Callithrix jacchus: one gene and its partners. The protein of the gene in region 4 purifies or fractionates together with the protein of the main gene of each other region. This does not show direct contact. Links are inferred from orthologs where the notes say so. Each region holds a gene or a part of one and is shown on either strand. Other genes may lie near its edges.

The links.
Region 1: the proteins of STK3 (region 4) and MAP1B purify together in Homo sapiens (affinity purification with mass spectrometry; 4 studies listed by BioGRID and IntAct, with this or other methods). This does not show direct contact. The link is inferred for Callithrix jacchus from reciprocal best matches to the Homo sapiens genes STK3 and MAP1B.
Region 2: the proteins of STK3 (region 4) and RASSF3 purify together in Homo sapiens (affinity purification with mass spectrometry; 4 studies listed by BioGRID and IntAct, with this or other methods). This does not show direct contact. The link is inferred for Callithrix jacchus from reciprocal best matches to the Homo sapiens genes STK3 and RASSF3.
Region 3: the proteins of STK3 (region 4) and VAPA purify together in Homo sapiens (affinity purification with mass spectrometry; 4 studies listed by BioGRID and IntAct, counting the BioPlex papers as one, with this or other methods). This does not show direct contact. The link is inferred for Callithrix jacchus from reciprocal best matches to the Homo sapiens genes STK3 and VAPA.

The regions. Positions count from the first base shown.
Region 1 is NC_133503.1:139,053,563-139,058,803, reverse strand, and holds the start of MAP1B (microtubule-associated protein 1B), read left to right. Parts: upstream 1-1,794; 5' UTR 1,795-1,851; coding exon 1,852-2,035; intron 2,036-5,241. UniProt on the Homo sapiens protein: Facilitates tyrosination of alpha-tubulin in neuronal microtubules. Phosphorylated MAP1B is required for proper microtubule dynamics and plays a role in the cytoskeletal changes that accompany neuronal differentiation and neurite extension.
Region 2 is NC_133510.1:54,777,013-54,782,368, forward strand, and holds the start of RASSF3 (ras association domain-containing protein 3), read right to left. Parts: upstream 3,448-5,356; 5' UTR 3,408-3,447; coding exon 3,341-3,407; intron 1-3,340.
Region 3 is NC_133514.1:53,008,663-53,013,888, reverse strand, and holds the start of VAPA (vesicle-associated membrane protein-associated protein A), read left to right. Parts: upstream 1-1,779; 5' UTR 1,780-2,041; coding exon 2,042-2,120; intron 2,121-2,712; exon of another isoform or gene 2,713-2,984; intron 2,985-5,226. UniProt on the Homo sapiens protein: Endoplasmic reticulum (ER)-anchored protein that mediates the formation of contact sites between the ER and endosomes via interaction with FFAT motif-containing proteins such as STARD3 or WDR44.
Region 4 is NC_133517.1:98,134,507-98,139,180, forward strand, and holds part of STK3 (serine/threonine-protein kinase 3), read left to right. Parts: intron 1-273; coding exon 274-438; intron 439-945; coding exon 946-1,113; intron 1,114-4,674. UniProt on the Homo sapiens protein: Stress-activated, pro-apoptotic kinase which, following caspase-cleavage, enters the nucleus and induces chromatin condensation followed by internucleosomal DNA fragmentation.

The sequences.
Region 1 (5,241 bases), on a different chromosome or scaffold from region 4:
AGAGTGGTTCAAAGAAAGGAAAAACAAACACACTACAGGAGGCTGGAATCCAATGGATGACTTTTGGAAAACAGTGCTCTTCACCATATCTCCTGCCCCTCACCCTGATTATGGGCTTTGGTGATGGGCTTACCTCTCTAACAGCAATTGAGTATCTTAACCAAAATATGATCTGGAAACACTTCATCTATTTACTGGTGAATGCAACTCTCTAGTGAGCCTGTCACGGATCCCAAATACTGCGGGCCAGACAGTATTTTTATTCTGTATTGATCAGATTGACATGTTGGATGGGACCCCCTGCCCCAGCCCTTGGCTACCCAGATGTCTCCCGTGCCAGGGTTTCAGGAAACATGTAAGAGCAAAGAGTACATAACCAGTAAGTGATGGCAGCTAACACCTAAGACACTGGGTTATTTTGGAAATCTTAAGAATATCTAGGTGATTATGTATTTATCATCTATATTCTACTAATATGCTTTCTTGTACTAAAGCTATGTTGACTAATTTCCATCTATTCCTCTCCCTTAAAGCTCGAATCCCCTATCTTTAATGGTGGTATTATGTCTGCACATTTTGTTCTTTCCTCCTCCCCTTTTCTGGGACAAAAGCTGTAATCAGTATATTTGTGAGAAATGGTTGTAAATAGGCTGCCTTTAAAAAAACAACAACACATTTTTATGAGTTCTTCTAAACATAAACAAAGGCAATAAAAATTCCAAATGCTACATATATTTTAAAAGACATCGTCACATGAGATAAATTTGCTTGTGTGTTCACCAAGGAACTGAAAAGTACATTATAGTCACTGTAACCCTGCTGGGTAGAGACAGTATCTTCTCTTTATTCTCTGTAATTCCTGAGACTATCTGTTCAGTATATTAAGGAAAGAAATCGGTATCTGAGATAATGCACCTGCATTTCTCTCATTTCCCATGGGCACCACAAAGCCAGTACTTTTTCACCCCTGGCCCTGGCAGAGTAGAATCCAAAGCCTGAACAACAGTAGGCTTAAGTTTTGCATCTTTGAGGTATTCTTTAAGTGAAGGTGGTAAATACTGATATTGGTAAATATCAGTAAACTCGTCTTCTTAAAGCCACAAGGTCAAAGAAAAGACAGGTTCCATCTTCCTAGGCGGGGTACCCACAGTCCCGAGTCTGCTCATTGTGGCTATGCCAGTTCCTGAGAACCTGGCTACATCATAGATGGCACACGAGGCAAAGGCCTGACTAGTGCACCTCGGACAAGGGAAAGACCCCTACTCTGAAAATGGAAACTCATCCCATTCCCATGCACAGACAGGGTGAGGGTGTGGAGTGGGCAGTGGGTGTGTACGTGGCAGGGGGTGTATAGGCTGGGAGCTTTTTCCCCCTTCAAGGCTGTAGCAGGAGCCCAGGGGGCTCCCCAGCCCCTTGGCTTTCGGCCCTACCCCGACCATTGTCAGCACACCTCGTCCCTCCAGCTTCCGGGCCGCGGGCGAGATGATTTGCTGCAGATGACATCAGCCCCGGGCCAACGGCTGGAAGAGCGGAGGCAGCCACTGCGTGAGGATGTGCCGGGTGGTCCTTTCCTCCTCCTCTTCCTCCTCCTCCCCGGCTCCCTGCCTAGTCTCCATATAAAAGCAGCGCCGCCTCCCCGCCCTCTCTCACTCTCCGCTCCTCTCCGCCGCGCACTCTCCACGGCGCTAGGAGAGGGCGGAGGGGGAGGCGGCGTGGGGCGCGCGGCGCCAGAGGAGGGGGGACGCAGGGGGCGGAGCGGAGACAGCACCTTCGGAGATAATCCTTTCTCCTGCCGCAGAGGAGAGGAGCGGCCAGAGGGAGACACTTCGCTGAGGCACAGCGGCCGGCAGGATGGCGACAGTGGTGGTGGAAGCCACCGAGCCGGAGCCGTCCGGCAGCATCGCCAACCCGGCGGCGTCCACCTCGCCTAGCCTGTCACACCGCTTCCTTGACAGCAAGTTCTACTTGCTGGTGGTCGTCGGCGAGATCGTAACCGAGGAGCACCTGCGGCGCGCCATCGGCAATATCGAGCTCGGTAAGTGGCCCCACGCCCCCAGGGACGCGCGCTGAGAGAGGCGCAAACACGACCCCACCCAGGCGCGACGGTCACCGCGCTCCTCCCTCGTGCCGCGCACCCAGGCCTCTCCCCACCACCTTCCATACTTGATCCAGACTCTTTTCCGGACTAATTAAGAAGAATAATCCGAATGACTAGATATGAGACCCGGGGGGAGTCTCCCAATAACCTTGAGGGATCTGTCACCACGCTGGGTCCGCATCCTCTGCTGAGTTGGCCACCGCCTCTCCCGCTAAGTGAAATGCAGGTGTCAGGGGAGCAGAGGCCAGAATAAAGCCGCAACTGCAGGAGGCAGCAGGGTCGAGGAGACCTGATGCAACCACTCCTTTCAACCCCCTTCTGGCCTCAGGAAAAGGCTGGGACCCCCACAACCGCAGATCGGGGGCCGAAGTCCCATGTGCCAGGGCCCGCGTGGGATTCATCCTCAACCGGCTAACTCAGACCCTGAGAAACGCCTTTTCCGATTTCAAACCTTCTGATCCTTTCTTTCCTCAGAATGACTAGGCTAGTCCTAGGGCCACGCCCGCTCCCCCCCCTCCCCCCCCCGGGATGCTGGGATGCAAAACCGCCTTCGCTTTGCCACTAGACAGAGCCCGCCTCGCTACCGCCCCTGGGGCCTTGGCTGCAGCTCTCAGAAAGGACAATGGGACCCCAAGTTGTGGGGTGGGGCTGCTGCTTTTAAAAGTCCCAGCCTCTGGAGTGGTAGCTTGAAGGGGGTCGGTGGGGGAGACGTCAGCGGGTAGGTCAGCTCCTCGCCCGGTGCGTGCACCATTGGCGCTCTCTGCGGAGACCGAATAGCGGTTCGCCCGCGACCCTGGGCGGGGTCGTGAGGGTCCGACGGGCGCAGCCTCGGGCGCACCGAGAGACCCGCCCCCAGCCCCACCCGAGCTGCCGCAGTGCCCCCGGACCGCCCGACGCACCTGCCCCCCCCACACTGCGGCGCCCCAGTCGGGCTCGGCTGTCGGGGCGTGCGCTCTGCCCCGGCCTCCGGCTGGCGGGGGCCACGCGTCCCCACCTCTCCCTCTGCCTGGCTTTGTTGCGCTGGGAGTCCCTGGGTGGGCAGCTCTGGTCTCTGCCTTTCCCTTTATCCCCTAGCGTCCCGGCCCTCCCCTCGCCCCTGACAGAGGTCGCCGGGACCCTCCGCAGCCCCAGCCCGCGCTCTATTCTCCTGGGGTGGTGCTGAAGTGTTTCTCCGGGAGACACCGGTTGGTGGGCGTGGTGCAGTCCGCACTGCGGTCTCTACGGCAGCCCGAGGCGGACAAAGGGCGTTCACGCAGCCCTCGTTCTCCGCTCCCCCTCCCCAATAAAAGACGAAAGAAAAACCTTGTTTTAGATTTAAAAATAAATAAATAAATGCTTGTCATCTGCCTCTACAGTTGGAAACGGCCACTTGTCCCCAGAACAAAAGGCTGCAGGGTGGGGACTGTAGTTGCAGACCTGGTTCTTTTGTTTAACTTTAAAGCACTTGATTTTTTCCTTTCAGCTTAAAAAAAACAAAGAAAAAAAAATGTGAGCTGCAAGTCATGATATTTTATTTCCAAAAATTCAAGAACAAGCGATATTTCAATAGTGTAATGTCTTATTTGAACATCTCAATAACCCTCCATTTTCAGATTATAGGCCTTTGGTCTGATCAGTTCTAATTTAGTTTATTTGCACAATTTTCTCCTTGAAAAAATTTACACGTATTGACTTTGGGTGTGGCCATTGTAGGAATTAATGACTTCGGATTTTTTTCTTTAAAAAATTATTTGTAAGTGGCATTCCTGGGAGATAAGAATATATTAGGAGGTGCTTTTCTATCTACAAGATCTTCATAACCATTAGATGTGGCGGTGCTAGAAGGGGGATCATCAACCCCGTTTTAGAGGTGGGGACCCAGAGAGGCAGAAAGGGTAAGATAACCGGCTCAAGGTCACAGCACGCGTAAGTGACAAAAGTGCCGGTATTGCAGCGTCACTCGTTTTCTGACCCTGTCATGATGTTGGTGGAGGGAGGTTTCAGTACGACAGTTTTCAGGGCTTGCCTTTGTATGGCCATCCACTTGTGGGCAGCGCCCCATGCCGGGAGATGGTTCAGCTGTCACCTTCGGACCGTAATTACCTTCCTGCTTTGTTACTCAGCTGATCATTTTAGTGCCGTATTCCTCAGAGGGTTTATTCAAGCTACAAAACACAGGAATCCACATACTGCTATGAAGAAGGGCCCCCTGCCTTTACTGGTTTTTACACTACTAGCCTTTAGTGATAAAATTCAGATTGGTCTTCTTGACATTAATTGTTTAAAAGAATTATATAGAGAGGAAATGGCACAAATCAAAGATGCAGCTCAACAAATTTTCACAAAACAGACACAACCTGAATTACCCAGATCAAGAAACAGACATTACTGGAACCCCCTCAAAACCCACCTTGTGTTCCCTTTGCAGTAATCACCATGCCTTCCTGATTTTTAATTCCCTAGTTTGGTCAGGTTTTTGCATGGAACTCTGAAATGACTGTATTGATCCCGTTAAGAATCAACCAAGTGAGTGAGCAGAGCCATTTCCTTACACACCATAGCAGATGCTGCTTTTCCTCTGGAGATGGCTTTCCTAGCTCCTGGAGTGTTGGATGCAGCTTAAGATGGCAGGCCCTTACAGTGCTAAGTGAAAATCCTGCTCTCGCAGCTTTTCAGACAGTCTGAAATGACTTAGCAACAGGGCAGGCTGGCCCTGTTTTCCTGTGCATGACAAGCTGCTGTTTCAGCCACCGGGTCCCAGCTGGGCCTCCTCCAGAGGTCACTCTGATGCCACTGCTGTTGTTGCTGGTGCCTTTGGGCTGTGTTGTGTGAAGGGAGATGGAGCCACTCCAGGGGGCCTGCTCTGATGATTGTGTGCTGCAGGCTCTGAAAGCAGTTCCTCATCTGTTACTCTTTCTTCCTATTTTCCTTCCTGCCTTAACTGAGAATCTGGATTTGGAGACCCTGGTGACTTGGATTCTTGCCATCTGATTACTGAGGGCTCTCTGGGAAGCCTAGAAAATAATCTATAAATCTGTAGAGACGTGGTGGTAATGCAGTAAATCAACAGGCCTGGAACATCCCAATGTGGATGCTTCATAAATGCTTCTTGAAACCAAGGAAGAGAGATGCTCTTGTTTTCTCAACTGTATTTGGAAAGCATA
Region 2 (5,356 bases), on a different chromosome or scaffold from region 4:
CCTGTCTGCTCCTCTTCTGTTGTCTACCCCAAAATAGAACTAGAACTGAAATCCCACAGAACTCCTTATTTAAATTCAAATAGAATGGGATATATGATTCATTTCAATTCCTTATTCCATATGCTTCTCCTTTGAAGACTATGCACCATTTGGTCTTTTTAAGTCCCAAGGCTCTTCCTTCTTATTTGGGAAACAGAATAAAGTTATTATGTTATTATTTATGTGTGTCTGCGTGGTAATAAACCCAACAGACAAATTGAATTAGAGAGCTGTGTGCTGGTAAACAGTATTTTAAGAGGGAATTCACCAGCAATTCAGAAAACATTTCTTCTTCTTTTTTTTTTTTTTTTTGAGATGGAGTTTCACTCTTGTTACGCAGGCTGGAGTGCAATAGCGTGCTCTTGGCTCACTGCAACCTCCGCCTCCTGGGTTCAAGCAATTCTCCTGCCTCAACCTCCCGAGTAGCTGGGACTACCCAGCTAATTTTTGTATTTTTAGTAGAGACGGGGTTTCACCATGTTGACCAGGATGGTCTCGATCTCTTGACCTCGTGATCCACCCACCTCAGCCTCCCAAAGTGCTGGGATCACAGGAGTGAGCCACCGCGCCCTGCCCACATTTATTCTTCTGATGCATTTTTGTTTCTCCATCATAGTTATTTTTATCTCTACAATGTCTAGCCTACATCAGGCCCACTATTTTCTCCTATTAAAAGCCTACTTTAAAAAAGTGAAAACAGGCGGGGCGTGGTGGCTCGCACCTATAATCCCAGCACTTTGGGCGGGCAGATTACCTGAGCTTGGGAGTTCGAGATCAGCCTGACCAACATGGAGAAATCCTGTCTCGACTAAAAATACAAAATTACCCGGGTGTACTGGTGCATGCTTGTAATCCAACTACTTGGGAGGCTGAGGCAGGAGAATCCCTTGAACCCAGGAGGCAGAGGTTGCAGTGAGCTGAGATGATGTCATTGGACTCCAGCCTCAGCAACAAGAGTGAAACTCCATCTCAAAAAAAAAAGTGAAAACAAAACACATGCATGGCCAGGCATAGTGGCTCATGCCTGTATTCCCAGCACTTTGGGAGGTCAAGATGAGAGGATTGCTTGAGCCCAGGAGTTTGAGACAAGCCTGGGCAACATGGAGGGACCCTGTCTCTACTAAAAAAAACCAAAATGTTAGCTGGTGTGGTGGCATGTTTCAGCTACTCGGGAGGCTGAGGCAGGAGGATCACTCAAGTCTGGGAACTTGAGGCTGTAGTGAGCCGTGGTTTTATCACTGCACTCCAGCCTGGGCAACACAGCAAGACCGTGTCTCCAAACAAGAAAAAAAGGGGAGATATTTATCCCTTATTGTAAATGTTGTTTGTTTTGTTTTTCTTAGAGACAGTCTCACTTCATCAGCTAAGCTGGAGTGCAGTGGCATGACTGCAGCCTTGCACTCCTGGCATGAGCCACAATGCTTGCCCATAAACATAGTTAATAGAATGAAATACTCTTACATGGAACACCGATTTATAGAAAGACTAAAAGGAACTTTGAACTGCCATCAACTGAATGTCATCTATATTAAAAGGTACTCTTTTTTTTAACATGTAAATATCTCTGGAATGATCATACATCTTATCATCAATGGCACAACATGCTGAAATTGACAGCACTTTCCTTTCTTAGTGGTACAAAAAGTGATGGTGTATGTCACAATAGATGGTGCCTTAGAGATGAGGAAATATGGTAATGCTGTGCCTTACTGTCAGGCAAGCTATTCTAGAAATACCAACTACTTACTTGTTTGGTAAGAGCCTCTAGATAATGGTAGTAAGATGGTCACATGGCAAACATAGTTAATAGAATGTCAACATAACCTGGTGACATTTTCCACAGTTTAGGGTGAGGCAGGCATCTCACCACACACACTAAGAAACAGGCAGGTCATGGCTTAAGATCAGGTAGAATTCCTCTCTGAGTCCATTCCACCCCTTCCCACCCTAAAAACAGACACTGTCTCTCTCTGTCTAGTCTCGCTTTTTCTCATACACACACATACACCCCTCCTTGTGAGCTCCCTCCTTTCTACTCCCAACCTTGCAGAGGCCCTTACTAGCCTTGGGGTTGGTCATTTATCAGCCACTGGTGAGAGTAAAATGGGAAATCCCCTCTTTTACTTAATATTTAATTTATTTTCTTTTATTATTTTATTTTAGTTTTGAAACAGGGTCTCAGTCTGTCACCCAGGCTAGAGTGCAGTGACACGATCATGGCTCACTGCAGCCTCGAATTCCTGGGATCAAGCGATCTTCCTGCCTCAGCCTCCCTAGTAGCTGGGACCTTAAGTGCACGCCACCATGCCTGGCTAGGGTTTGTTGTTGTTGTAGAGATTGGGTCTCCCTATGTTGCCCAGGCTGTCTTTTATTTTATTTTTTTGGAGACAGAGTTTTGCTCTGTTGCCCAGGCTGCTTGTACAGTGGAACCATGGTAGCTTACTGCAGTCTTAACTCCTGGGCTCAAACAATCTTCCTGCCTCAGCCTTCCAAGTGGCTGAGACTACAGATGCCTATCACCACACCCAGCTAATTCAAACAATGTTTTTTTAAGATGGGGTCTTGCTATGTTTCCCAGGCTGGTCTCAAACTCAAGGGTTCAAGTAATCCTCCCACCTCAGCCTCCCAAAGTGCTGAGATTACAGGCGTGAGCCACGTTGCCCCACCTTGATATTTAATTCCTGCTACAGTTTTATTTAGATTTTGTCAATAATAAAGATCTACCCATGTCCCGAAGCCACAGGAAGCCCCAGGCTCTACCAAGCATTTTATAGGTGCTCTGCTGTTACCTGGGCACCTCCCACAAGTCTCCTTCCAGGACTGCAAGCCTGTATGCATTTTCTGTTGCTTCCTGAGAAAGACCTGGGAGCCATGGCTTTATCCTGAAAGTTCTTGAGTCTTTTTAGGAAGAATCTGAACTGCAAAACACATGTCCTTGATATTTATAACTGGTCAAAATAACGCTGGCGTTAAGGTTACATCTGTTGGAAAATGAAACCTCCCGAGCTGTCCTGTAATAGAAGCTGCAGAGCCCTGTTTCTCCATCCTTTGTTTAACTCATGCGAAATTTGAAAGCACATTTGTCTACAAGAAATAAAGCTTACTTGTGAAATAGCTTATAAACGAACTCAGATGACAAGAAACCAAAATAGCAGGCCTGGCTGAAGCATTGATCCCTAGCCCTGAAATCCAGCCGGGTCTTTCTGTAACATCAAAGGCACAAACAATTGAACCAACAAGGGGACTGATTCTGCCCAGCAGCCCTGGTGCCCTCAGACCATCCAAAGCAAGAGTAACCTACCAGGTATGTGAGTTTTCTTCACCTGAAAGTTGATTTTGCCCGAGAGCTTATAAATCGCAGTTCCCATCTCCGAGCTTGGCCCTGTTGTGCAGCAGAGCACAGAGAGACAGCTGACGGTGACAGGCTGAGCCGTCCAGGCCTAGCTGACCTGCGTGACTCAGAGCCCACCAGGGAGCAGGCCCTCGGCCTTTCTTCATTCCCTGGCTTCATGTACTTTTCCAAGTGCCCATCAGCATGCTCAGCAACCCTGCTCACAGGGACTGTCAAACGTTCACACCTGTGTCTGTAAGTCAAGTTAGAAGAGGCTGAGGGAGTATCTCCGAGACCATAGTGTTGAATGGAGACACCTGGGGAGGTAGTTAGGCCTCTGGACCCAGACACTTTAGATGAGCTGTGTGACCTTTGGCAATGTATTTAACCTCTCTGTCCCTCCATTTCTTCTGTAAAATGAGGAAAATAATAGTTCTCATCTCACTGAGTTTGTTGTTGCTACTGTTTTTGAGACAGGGTCTCCCTCTGTTGCCCAGGCTGGAATGCAGTGGCATGATCTCAGCTCGCTGCAATCTTGATCTCCTAGGATGAAGCAATTCTCCTATCTCAGCTTCCCGAGTAGCTGGGACCACAGGCAAGTGCCACAATGCCTGCCTAATTAAAAAACTTTTTTCAGACCCAGTGCAGTGGCTCACACCTGTAATCCCAGTGCTTTGGGAAGCCAAAGCGGGTGAATCACAAGGTCGGGAGATCAAGATCATACTGGACAACAGAAACCCTGTCTCTACTAAAATTACAAAAATTAGCTGGATGTGGTGGCACGCACTTGTAGTCCCAGCTACTCGGGAGGCTGAGGCAGGAGAATCACTTGAATTGAGGTAGATGTTGCAGTGAGCCGAGATTGCACCACTGCACTCCAGCCTGGCAACAGAGCAAGACTCTGTCTCAAAAAAACAAAACAAAAGAAGTCTGGATACAGTGGCTCATGCCTGTAATCTCAACACTTTGGGAGGCCAAAGCGGGTGGATCACAAAGTCAAGAGATTGAGACTGGCCAGGCTCGGTGGCTCATGCCTGTAATCCCAGCACTTTGGGAGGCCAAGGTGGGCAGATCATGAGGTCAGGAGATCGAGACCATCCTGGCCGACATGGTGAAACCCTGTCTCTATTAAAAATACAAAAAAAATTTTAGCTGGGCGTGGTGGCGCACCCCTGTAGTCCCAGCTACTCAGGAGACTGAGGCAGGAGAACCGCTTGAACCCAAGAGGCGGAGGTTGCAGTGAGCCGAGATTATACTCCAGCCTAGTGAGAGAGCAAGACTCCATCTCAAAAAAATTTTTTTATTTTTTTTTGGTAGAGATGAGGTCTTCCTATGTTGCCCAGGTTGGTCTTGAACCCCTGGGCTTAAGTGATTCTCCCACCTTGGCCTCCCATAGTGCTAGAATTACAGACATGAGCCACCATGTCTAGCCCTCACTGAGTTGTGATAAGTGTGAAAAGTGCTTAGAATGTTACCCAGCACTATGGTAAGTGCTCTAAAAGGGTAAACCATTGAAAGAAACACTGGATATTTCTTGTTCAGAAAATTTGCACTTATGAGCAGGGCTGCCGATATTTCCAAGAATACTAGGAGACTCCACTTCACATGATAGGTTAGATCACGATTCCCAGTGTTTGGAGGGAAAGGCCCACTACAATAATAGTTAAGAATTAAGAGGAGAGGATAGGCTGCTCTTTAACCGTGCCTGTAAATAGGGCTGTTTTCTATTTGAACCCGCAGCCAGCAATCCATCCCAACAGAAGGCAGAGCCGCTCAGTGCCGTCCTTGCTTTGTGCTCAAATGCTTTCAAAGCATTCTCTCCCAAATGGCTGCCTTTTTAATGGTTAGAAACCTACAGGTAGCTGTCTTTTCTCTCCCTGATCTCCCACTTTTGTTGACTATGAGGCATTTTTATCCCTTGGTGAAACCCTCTGAGGAAGACTGCATTGTTTCACTTTTCTGGTGTCCCGAGGCAGAGGAGAGTTG
Region 3 (5,226 bases), on a different chromosome or scaffold from region 4:
CGGGATTCCCATTAAACCCATGGTGAATGGGTGGACCATTCATCCTTCCGTAGGGGAGTTGCTGGGAATTTCCTCTGCATGCTATTCTGCTAGTTGGCTGTTTGCACATGGGGGATTCACAAATGCTTTCTGGTAAGAGAAGTGTCCCTCCAGCTATGGAGGGACCGGTTCAGCCTAGGCTAGCTTGCCCATGGAGGAGAGATCTTAGGCTGGCAAAATACTGGAGTTTGTGAGGGCCTTTAGGGTTGTCAATTCACAACTAAACTTATGTGGGACACTATTATTTGGACTGATTGTCAACTTTAGTTTTTTTTTCCTTAAAACAAAATCAACTTTAACTCATATACAATTTTTTTTGGTATTCTGCCTTAATGATAATCGACATTTCAGAATAAATTTTGCAAATAGAAAGAAATCACAGGAAAGGTAAATTTAGAATATGCTTCAAACTTCTTAAGCACTCTATCCTCCCAGGAACTTCAAGGCTGAAGATGCATTCCTCCTGGGTGGCACCATCTTCTGTGAATGCCAGGTTAGTGATTCCAGTAGGCTGTTCCTGGGTGGACTCTGATACCTGGATTGCACATGAAAACTTGGTGCCTGCGTCTTGACTGCTGTTTTGTCTCATTTATTTTCTAGACAAACTGTGCTGCTTTACGGCAGTAGCATCAATCAATATGTCTTTTATTTTGTGGCGCTTCCTAGATATTTAAATTCAGACAGTATCATACAATACAATAAAGGTTTATTTACAGCACATTCGCTTCATTTGACGTTCCTGTACCGGATTACCTTGGCAATCGGCTAAAGATTTGTCAGCAACTTTGCTGCTGGGATTTTTCTCATTTGGTTCAGTTTACTACAGCCTATCATAAGTGATGCAGATGGATTTCTTTTGTAACATGTGAACGTGACAACTGTGTTGGTTTGGGTCCATCATTAATCAAAACTGAAGATTCGTAGGCTCGATGGTGTAGATTTTGACTTTTGTTTCTAGCTTTTGTGTGCTTTGTCATATTTCCCCTGCGACTCGTTTGCTTCCTAGACGGGGTGTGCTTCCTTATCTGATTTTGCATCACTGGAGAGAACTCAGGAAGCAGGAGAGGCTGGATGGGATCATTACAGGGAATGCAGTCTTGCCAACAGAGGGATGGATAGAATTACAGAGCAAACGGACACATCCCCGCCTGTTCTCCACAGGGCAGATTTTATCAGTATATTTCTAACATTGGGAACTCGTTTCCGCCTTCAAAAGTTTTTTCCTTTTTAGCGCAAACTAGACGTGCTCTGAGCCAAAATTAGCGTCCGCGAACCCCACCCCATTCGCCTCAAAAGGACCTCGCTCACCTTCCCGCCCACAAACAGCCACTACTACACTTCCCAGCAAGCACCGCGAAGTACCAGGCCCTCGGCGAAGGCCCCGCCCCACAAGGGGCATGCTGGGAGTTGTAGTGAGTGGGCGCTTCCCCACTACTCCTCCCTAGGCATTCCCACTTGGAAGACCGTGATGCGCTGCCAGAGCAGGTTCTCTAGTTTCGTACTCGTAGCTCAACGTGACAGAGGACTGCGCCTCAAGCCTGCGGCTGCGCATCGCGTCGGTCCCGCGGGCCTTTGCCCCGCCTCTTTCCACACCCGTTCCCTTGACAGCTGGGCTGCGCTTGGAGCCGCGGCGAGCCCTCAGCGCGCAGGCGCAGTAGCCCGGCGCCGCGTTAGGTAGGCCTGGAGGGCGGGACGAGCGCGAGGGGCTCTCGGTCGCCGGGGCGCGCACGTAGGCAACGCAGAGACCATCACGTGGGGCGCCGAAGATCGCAGTGCGCGTGGCCGTGGCGGCTGGTGTGGGGTTGAGTCAGTTGTGAGATCCGGAGCTGCTGACCCAGCGGGTGGCCCACCGTACCCGCGACACAGCGGCAGGCGTCAGGGCTCGGAAGCGGCGAGCCTGGCTCCGTCCTAGAGGTTGGCCGAGCGGGCACCACCGTCGTTCCCCGCCCCCAGCCAGCAAACCGTCGCCGCGGGCGCGCCCCCGCTCTGCGCTGTCTCTCCGATGGCGTCCGCCTCCGGGGCCATGGCGAAGCATGAGCAGATCTTGGTCCTCGACCCGCCCACAGACCTCAAATTCAAAGGTAGGCAGGATGGGGACACCCCCGGGCGGGATGGGGCACGCGGACGGCTGTCGGCGGCGGGGGGCGCGGAGAGCACGTCGGCGGCCGCGGCCCGAGGGAGCGCCCCCTCCCCCACGCCCGGGCGCCTGCCCTTTCCCGGCTGCTGCCTCGCCGCGGCCTCTGCCTGCCTGCCCGGCTCTCAGGCTGGCTTCTTTCCCTTTCGCCCGCCCGCGCTGCAGTGCGCGCGCCGGCCCAGGCGAGGCGGAGGGGAGCCGGGCCCTGGCGCCGCCGCCGCCATCTTGCGGTCCCGCGGGGGCGCCACCCGGGTGTTCGGTCCCGCCCGCGCCGCCGTCGGCCGGGGCCCAAGTCCTTGGCTCCTGAGGCCGACGGCGTGCTTCAGCGGGGCGTGGGTGGGTGGGCACCCGCGGGCGTGCGGTAGGGGCTGCGGCGGGGAGTGGGCTCTGGAGGTGGCGCAAGCTGCGTCCGTCTCCGGTTCCCGCTGTCAGTGGCGCGGGACCCCTCGGGAGTGAGAGCCGTCTCCCGACTCTGGCCCCGGCCCGGGGAGAGTTGGGTGCAGCCGGACTAGGGCTCCGCGGAGGGCGTCTCTCCTCACCTTTCCTCCCTGTTTAGAACTCGGCTGTCAGGTGTAGGGCGCGCTGGGGAGGCGGAGGAGCCCGGGAGGTGCCTGGCGAGGGCTGCCCGGTGCTCTTGGCACGGCCCCAAGCGCGTGCGGGCAGGAGCGATGCGTCAGCCGCGAAAGCAGAGTTGTAGGTTCATAGTAGCGGGGCTTCCTGCCTTCTACGACATTTCAGTGTGCCACCCGCGTGCTTGCTCTTATTTAGCCCTTCAGTTGAGCTCCTCTGCTGAGAAGCCTTCAGTACGTGTGACTTTTGCCTTTACGTTTGCGGTTTCCTACAGACCCTGAGAAGGCTAAGGTCAGCCAGCTCTGGAACTTTGTAGGTTTATTTTGTAGCACTGCCGGTGATAAGTTTTCAGTCTGACTTGGTGATACTGGAACAATCCCAGGGGCTGTTTGATCCGTTTGCTTGTCAATATAAGGTGTACTTTAGGAAAGAGAGTTAGAAACTGGACAGGTTTTTGTTTTTTTCTTGTACTTAAGGAATACTGAAAGAGTGTGAACATCTAATAGAAAGGTTCCTTCCTATCTTTAGTTAAGTGTAAAGTGAGTCCCCTTTTGGAAGTCAGTGTCTTGTAGTTCAGTTTGTTGAATGAGAACAATTTTTGTGAGGTGTATAGCAATTCTAGTGCTAAAAGAAACAGTGAAATCCTTTATTGTTGTGTAACGAGAAATCCCAACTACATTGTTTTCCACAGGAAAAACTTTAGTTTTAGGAATTTAAAATATATTCTGAAATTACGAGATTAATATTGGATAACTGCATTGCAAGTTTTTTAGTGCATTTACAAATTTCTTTTCTTTCTTTCTTTTTTTTTTTTTTTAAATAAAGACGGGGTTTCACCATGTTGGTTAGGCTGGTCTTGAACTCCCGACCTCAGGTGATCCGCCCGCCTTGGCCTCCAAAGTGCTTGGATTACAGGCGTGAGCCACCACGCCCGGCCTATTGAATAGAAAAGTGAGTGAGCTACTTGTTGGGTAAGGATTTGGTTTTAAGACAAGGTGCAGTGAATGTATTTTATTGCAAGTTAATGTATGTTGTGTGATTTTACATAGTTTTAGCTGGGGGAAAACCTTTGAGGAATCGTGAAATGTCCTAACTCAGCCATAATCTTGAGATAATTGAATGTAAACCTCTATGATGTGTGTGTGTGTGTGTGTGTGTGTGTGTATTTCGTTTTTATCTTTTGACTGGCTGTGTTTACAGTGAACGTTTCCTCTACTGGATAACTGTGTAAATTGCCGTTAGGTGCTTACAAGCCTTGACAACCAGTTTTAGGCCATGAAATGTCCACAGAGTTTGAAGGTTTCTCCTTGGGGAAGTTGTTACGTTGCTTTAGTAAGAGACTAGTAATAGTGGAGAAGCAGGTTTAAAAAAAAACAACCAAAAACCCTACACAGTGACTTACTCATATATTTCCTTCTTTGGGGGTATTGGAGAATTATAGCTATGATTATGGAACACATTGTTCTTGTGTTGCCAGTACAAATGATAAGACTAGTAAGGGAAAAAGAGAAAATGTACAAATGGTGTAAGAGAGACACAATCCTGTCTGAGGAAAGAAGCCCTTTCTCTACGTGCCCCATCCATCCCTCCCTTAGGAAGCCTTTAACGAAAAGGCTTGTTTTTCATTTCAGGGAAGGTTTAAGCCCAGAGAGTGGTTGAGTAAACAAACTGTTGTGAGAAAATGCCTGGTACTTAAATGCCCAATAGTTCATTGTGTGTTTCACTTTAAAGATACAGATAATGGGGAGGATTGGGAGGTGACATTTGGTGTTTGATTCCTTTTTAATATTGTTTTAGTCAAAGGCAAATTGTTTGCTTTGATGGAAACCTTCGTATATGCACAGCTCAACACTGAGGAGACTGATTTAGAATCTATAGTCTACTTGTGCTTTATGATTAAAAAAATAATTTGACTTATTCTAAATTACTAAAAATTTTATTTTTAAGTGAAGGACTTTTAAAAGAGAGTTTTGCCGAATTCTTTGTCATCTTCTAGTAGGTTTATTTTAGTTATTTTGATTCTGAGTTTGAGATGATTTCTCCAGCAGTGACTCAGGTGATCATTCTGAAATTGGATCGTTTTTCTTTTATATACCTAACACAATCATCTTGAAGATGAATTAACAGCATTTTGCACAATTTTGCAGAAGCAGATAACTAGTTCAGTACATTTTTCTACATACCTCAGTATTGTAAAAAAAAGTTTGTTTTATACAATTTTTAACATACAAAAGTGCATTTATGATGTAATGAATTCTGAAGTAGAAATCTTGTGTTAGTAAAGAAAAAGAAATAGACATTGCTTTACTTCAAATTCTGTTGTTTAAACCTGGGAAGTAATTTTACCTAAATTTCAGATTTGAAACTTGGTATTTTATGTGAAAAAACTTTTTTTGTCTTTAAAATTTTTTACATGATAAAATTCTGTTATAACGGAATGTTATTACACAACATTTTATTTTTCCCACCTATTAGCAGTTTTG
Region 4 (4,674 bases):
CAGAAATAAAAATAACTTAGCCTATTTGGGTGGCGTGTGCCTGTAGTTCTAGCTACTCGGGAAGCTGAGGTGGGAGTATGGCTTGAGCCCAGGAATATGAGGCTGTAGTGAGCTGTCATCACGCCAACTGTGCTGTAGCCTGGGCAACAGAGTGGGGTGTCTTACACACACACACACACACACACACACACGACATACTTGTTACTAGTGCTTTTTTGTAAGAGTTTATCTAACATGGCATTTTAATATGGTTTTAAAAATATTTCTTTCCAGTTAACAGAAGATGAAATTGCAACCATTCTTAAATCTACATTGAAAGGACTAGAATATCTGCACTTTATGAGAAAAATACACAGAGATATAAAAGCTGGAAATATTCTCCTCAATACAGAAGGACATGCAAAATTGGCAGATTTTGGAGTGGCTGGACAGCTAACAGTAAGTTAAATTTAATAATTTTCTAAACACTTGGCTAATTTGTTCAGCTTTGATTGTAACTAAACTTTGATAACTTTTTGAGGGGGAATGGAAAGAAATGTGTAACTTTTTTGTTTTTGTGGAGAAGGAACCCTAATCGAGCCAAATTCGAGTATTATTTAATTTATAATTTAGGATAATTGAATATGAAAATTTGTAATCAAAATGCTTTACTGTTCTAAAAGGGAAGCTAGTCAGCTCATTTGTGTAGCTTTCAGCATTATAGTATCTTTAAGGATTGTATTTAAGTGATGGTAGTAGAGATAAGTTACCTGTGGATTCTTGGTTGTTTTCAGAATTCAGAATTCCTAAGTATGTCATAACTGGTTGAAATTTTAGCAAAATATAGTCAATTTCTGATACAATATGTGGCATTGGAGGTTTTGACTTTTTCTTAAAGAATGTTTGGCATACAGATTTCCTTTGTGTTTTTGTAGTAGCATTTATGGCTACGTAACATTATTGCAGGATACGATGGCCAAACGCAATACTGTAATAGGAACTCCATTTTGGATGGCTCCTGAGGTGATTCAAGAAATAGGCTATAACTGTGTTGCTGACATCTGGTCCCTCGGCATTACTTCTATAGAAATGGCTGAAGGAAAACCTCCTTATGCTGATATACATCCAATGAGGGTAAGAAAATTATGATTTGCTAAAAATGTTAGCCTTATATAAGTGTTGCAGTTTTGTAATGTCAGTGTAAGTAAATATAAACTAAATACGTTTATTTAAATTTGTTCTTTTTAAAAATGCTAAAATTATCTCTTAAAGATTAGTAACTGATAATTTCTCTTCCTTCTGCATTCTAAATTGTGGGAAAAGAAGTGAAGGCTCTGTATATGTCTACAGTCACTGTTCTACCCCCAAAAATATACCTGTAAAGTTTTTGCTTGCTTTTCAGTAGAAGAAAGGGTTGGTAAATCCTCTTTGCTCTTCAGTTTATTGCTTCTCGATGTGATAGTGGAAGAGTTTGAAGTAATCTGTTCTTACCCACTCCGTAATGTATACCTGTCTCTCTCTCTCTCTATCTCTCTCTCTCTCTCTCTCTCTCTCTCTCTCTCTCTCTCTCTCTCTCTCAGTGTGTGTGTGTGTGTGTGTGTGTGTGTGTGTGTGTGTGTGTGGTTTTTTTTTTCTACCCTTTCTCTTTGGTCTGAGGATGATATTAAGCAATCCTAATTTCTAATATTGCTATGCACCTGTAAAGGAATTAGGCTTTTTTTTTTTTAATGAATCCTTATTCAGAAAATGGAATTCCTTTGTTGAACATCATTATATGTTTCTGTGATCGCTGCAGGAAAATTTTTGAGTTTGAAATATATATCTTACATATTCAAGTCCAATTGCCTATGTTTCAAGATTTGTGATGATATACTTTTTAGGTTTATTACTCTGTGAATCATATAGATAAGTTCATCATCATAGATAAGTACATTTATCTTTGTATACTTATTGCCCTCTAGTGGCTGCAGTTACCTCAATAAGGATATAGAAATGAAGGGAAGAGTGTATGTATGTGTAGAAAAGAGAAGATAGTGTCATGGTGGCTGGAGGAATTTGAAGTAAGTAGGAAGAAGAAGAATGCATTATTTTAGGCTATCTGAAGATGAATAAATTGGAATCACATCTGATATTATAATGCTATTGTGGGTTAAATTTTGATAATATAGGTAATAGTGTATTATATGGAAAACATTTAAAAATCTGTCTGTTGTATTGAAACATTTTTATTTTTTTATTTTATTTATTTTTATTTTTTTGCCAATCAGTTTGAGCTTATGAGGTTGCTCAGGTTAGCCTTGAACTGATGACCTCGCCTTCGCGAGCATTTTTAAAGAGAGTTTTTGTTTTCTCATTCTTTTGAGACAGGGTCTTACTCTGTCACCCTGCCTGTAGTGCAGTAGTGCGATCATGGCTCACTCTAGCCTCAACTTCCTGGGCTCAGGTGATCTTCCCACCTCAGCCTGCAGAGTAGCTGGGGATATAGGTATGCACTATCATGCCCAACTAATTTTCTGTTAGTAGAGACAAGTTGTCGCTACATTGCCCAGGCTATTTTCTGTTAGTAGAGACAAGTTGTCGCTACATTGCCCAGGCTAGTCTCCAACTCCTGGGCTCAAGCGATCCTCCCACTGTGGCTTCCCAAAGTGCTGGGATTACAGGAGTGTGCCCAGCATAGAATTCTTTGAGTAATATAATCGTATACAATATGTACCATCTTCCTTGTGTATGTAAATTCCTTTTGGTAAATGAAAGATAAAAATAGCATCAATTGTTTTAAAATAAAATGAAAAATAACAAGGTCAGCAAGAACAAAAACAGGAACACAGAGTCTTACTTCTTCTCTGATCATTAGTTATCTGTGGTTATTTTAGTTAGGATGTTTGTAGAGTGATCCTCAAAGTAGACAAGTTTGTGTTTCAGTCCGTGAGGGTTACTAAATTACCCAAGGCAACTTAGGTAGGTTCCAGAGCTGGGATTTAACCTAGGACTTCCATTATTACCATTCTGCTTCTTCCCTGTGTAAATCTTATTTTTCTATCCAAATAGTTCAATATGTTAAATTTGACCCTGTGCTACTTTCTCTAGCAGAGAGGAGAGAATTGTAATATGTGACCCCTTCCTTTAAGGATCTGATAATATTACCTGAGAGTTTGAATGAATACATAATACATTGTTAAAAATATACCTGATGATAGTGTTTCTCTTAGGAAAAAAAATATATATATATTGCAAATTTCCTCGGATGCCTTGCTTACTGTTTTTTTTTTTTTCAAACCAGTCTAAATCCTACCATTTTTTAAAGTCTCAACTCAGATTTTATTTCTGGATAGACCCATTCTTGACAGCTGTCGCCCAAGTAAATTTCTCTTTTTCCTCATAATTTGTATATAGGCAATTTTTGACAGTCCAGTTCTTTGGATAGTTAATCAAGTGTTGCCTTGTACATTTCCAAACATAATATAGTTTATCTCCTATTTGAATGATGGCATTATTTAACTTTTTTTGTGTTTGTGAGCTGCCTCACAAATTAGAGTATTGAACTGCAAGTATTGGGGGTTGTTAAGATCATGTAACAGATACAGTTCTATCATGGGCAACAAATACTGCCTTTTATTTGTCTTGAAATGACGGGTTCACTTGGTTCATTTTTGAGAAAATGTCTGTCAAATACCCATCTGTGTAACCTTAGTTTTCTGTCAGTTATTCTTCAAGTAAAATCGGTGTTCTTGAAAAGAGCCTTGTAGTTTATTTAGCTTGCAGCTCAGTCATGCAACTACTTTTTTTCAGATTATTATTGTTCTTTGGTATGTGGGGAAGTGCATTATGCATATTTTCCATTTTGTCATGTAGAATACTACAAAATATATATTCACGTGTGGAAATTTAATAAAGTTAATAACTTTTACTGTTTCTTCAAGGTTTACAGTAGTTTGGTGGGGGGCATAGTACGGGCGTGAAAAGAGCTGTTCAAGAGAGAAAAAAAATGTAGTGGGTCCAGCTAAAATTGGTAATTGAGAAATTGTAATGTAATTAATACTGGTTTATGGGCCTTCCTGTGGTAGCATACTCTGCTGCGCAGTAGAGTGCATTATGGCCTTGATATGCAGGGTTTGGGTTTTAATGAATTAGTGTTTTTAAAGGATGGGGCTACAGGGAATTTAAGGATGCTGCTGAGATACACTTCAGGTGGTTACTAACAGGGCACAGTCTGGAAAGAGAGAGAAATTCTGGAAAGAAAAGAGAATATAAGGAAATGGAGCAATCATGGAATAGTGTTCTCTCCATGCTTGCTGCATAGCAGTCATCTGGGGAGCCCTACCCTAAACAGATGACATCTGAATCTCAAGAGGTTAGAGAGGAGATAAAGTGGTTGTTAAGATATGAGAAAGCTGGTAGGATATCACAGTATGATAAGTAAGTGGAATGATTTTCTTTTTTAACCAATATTTTTTTTTGTACTGTAGTAACTTTGTGAAATTAATATTTTATTCTCCATTGGGTAGATTGGATGAAATGGATAAGATTATTTGTTAAGATGACATAACTTATCAGCGGCAGAACTGAGATATGAATTCAGTTTGATCTGTATTTTTGCCTAGACACCAAAGAAATATCCTCTGTGTTAATATGCCAACTCTATGCAAGTGGAGGAGTGGCTAAAAAATTAGACATTTTTAAACCATCTAATCACAA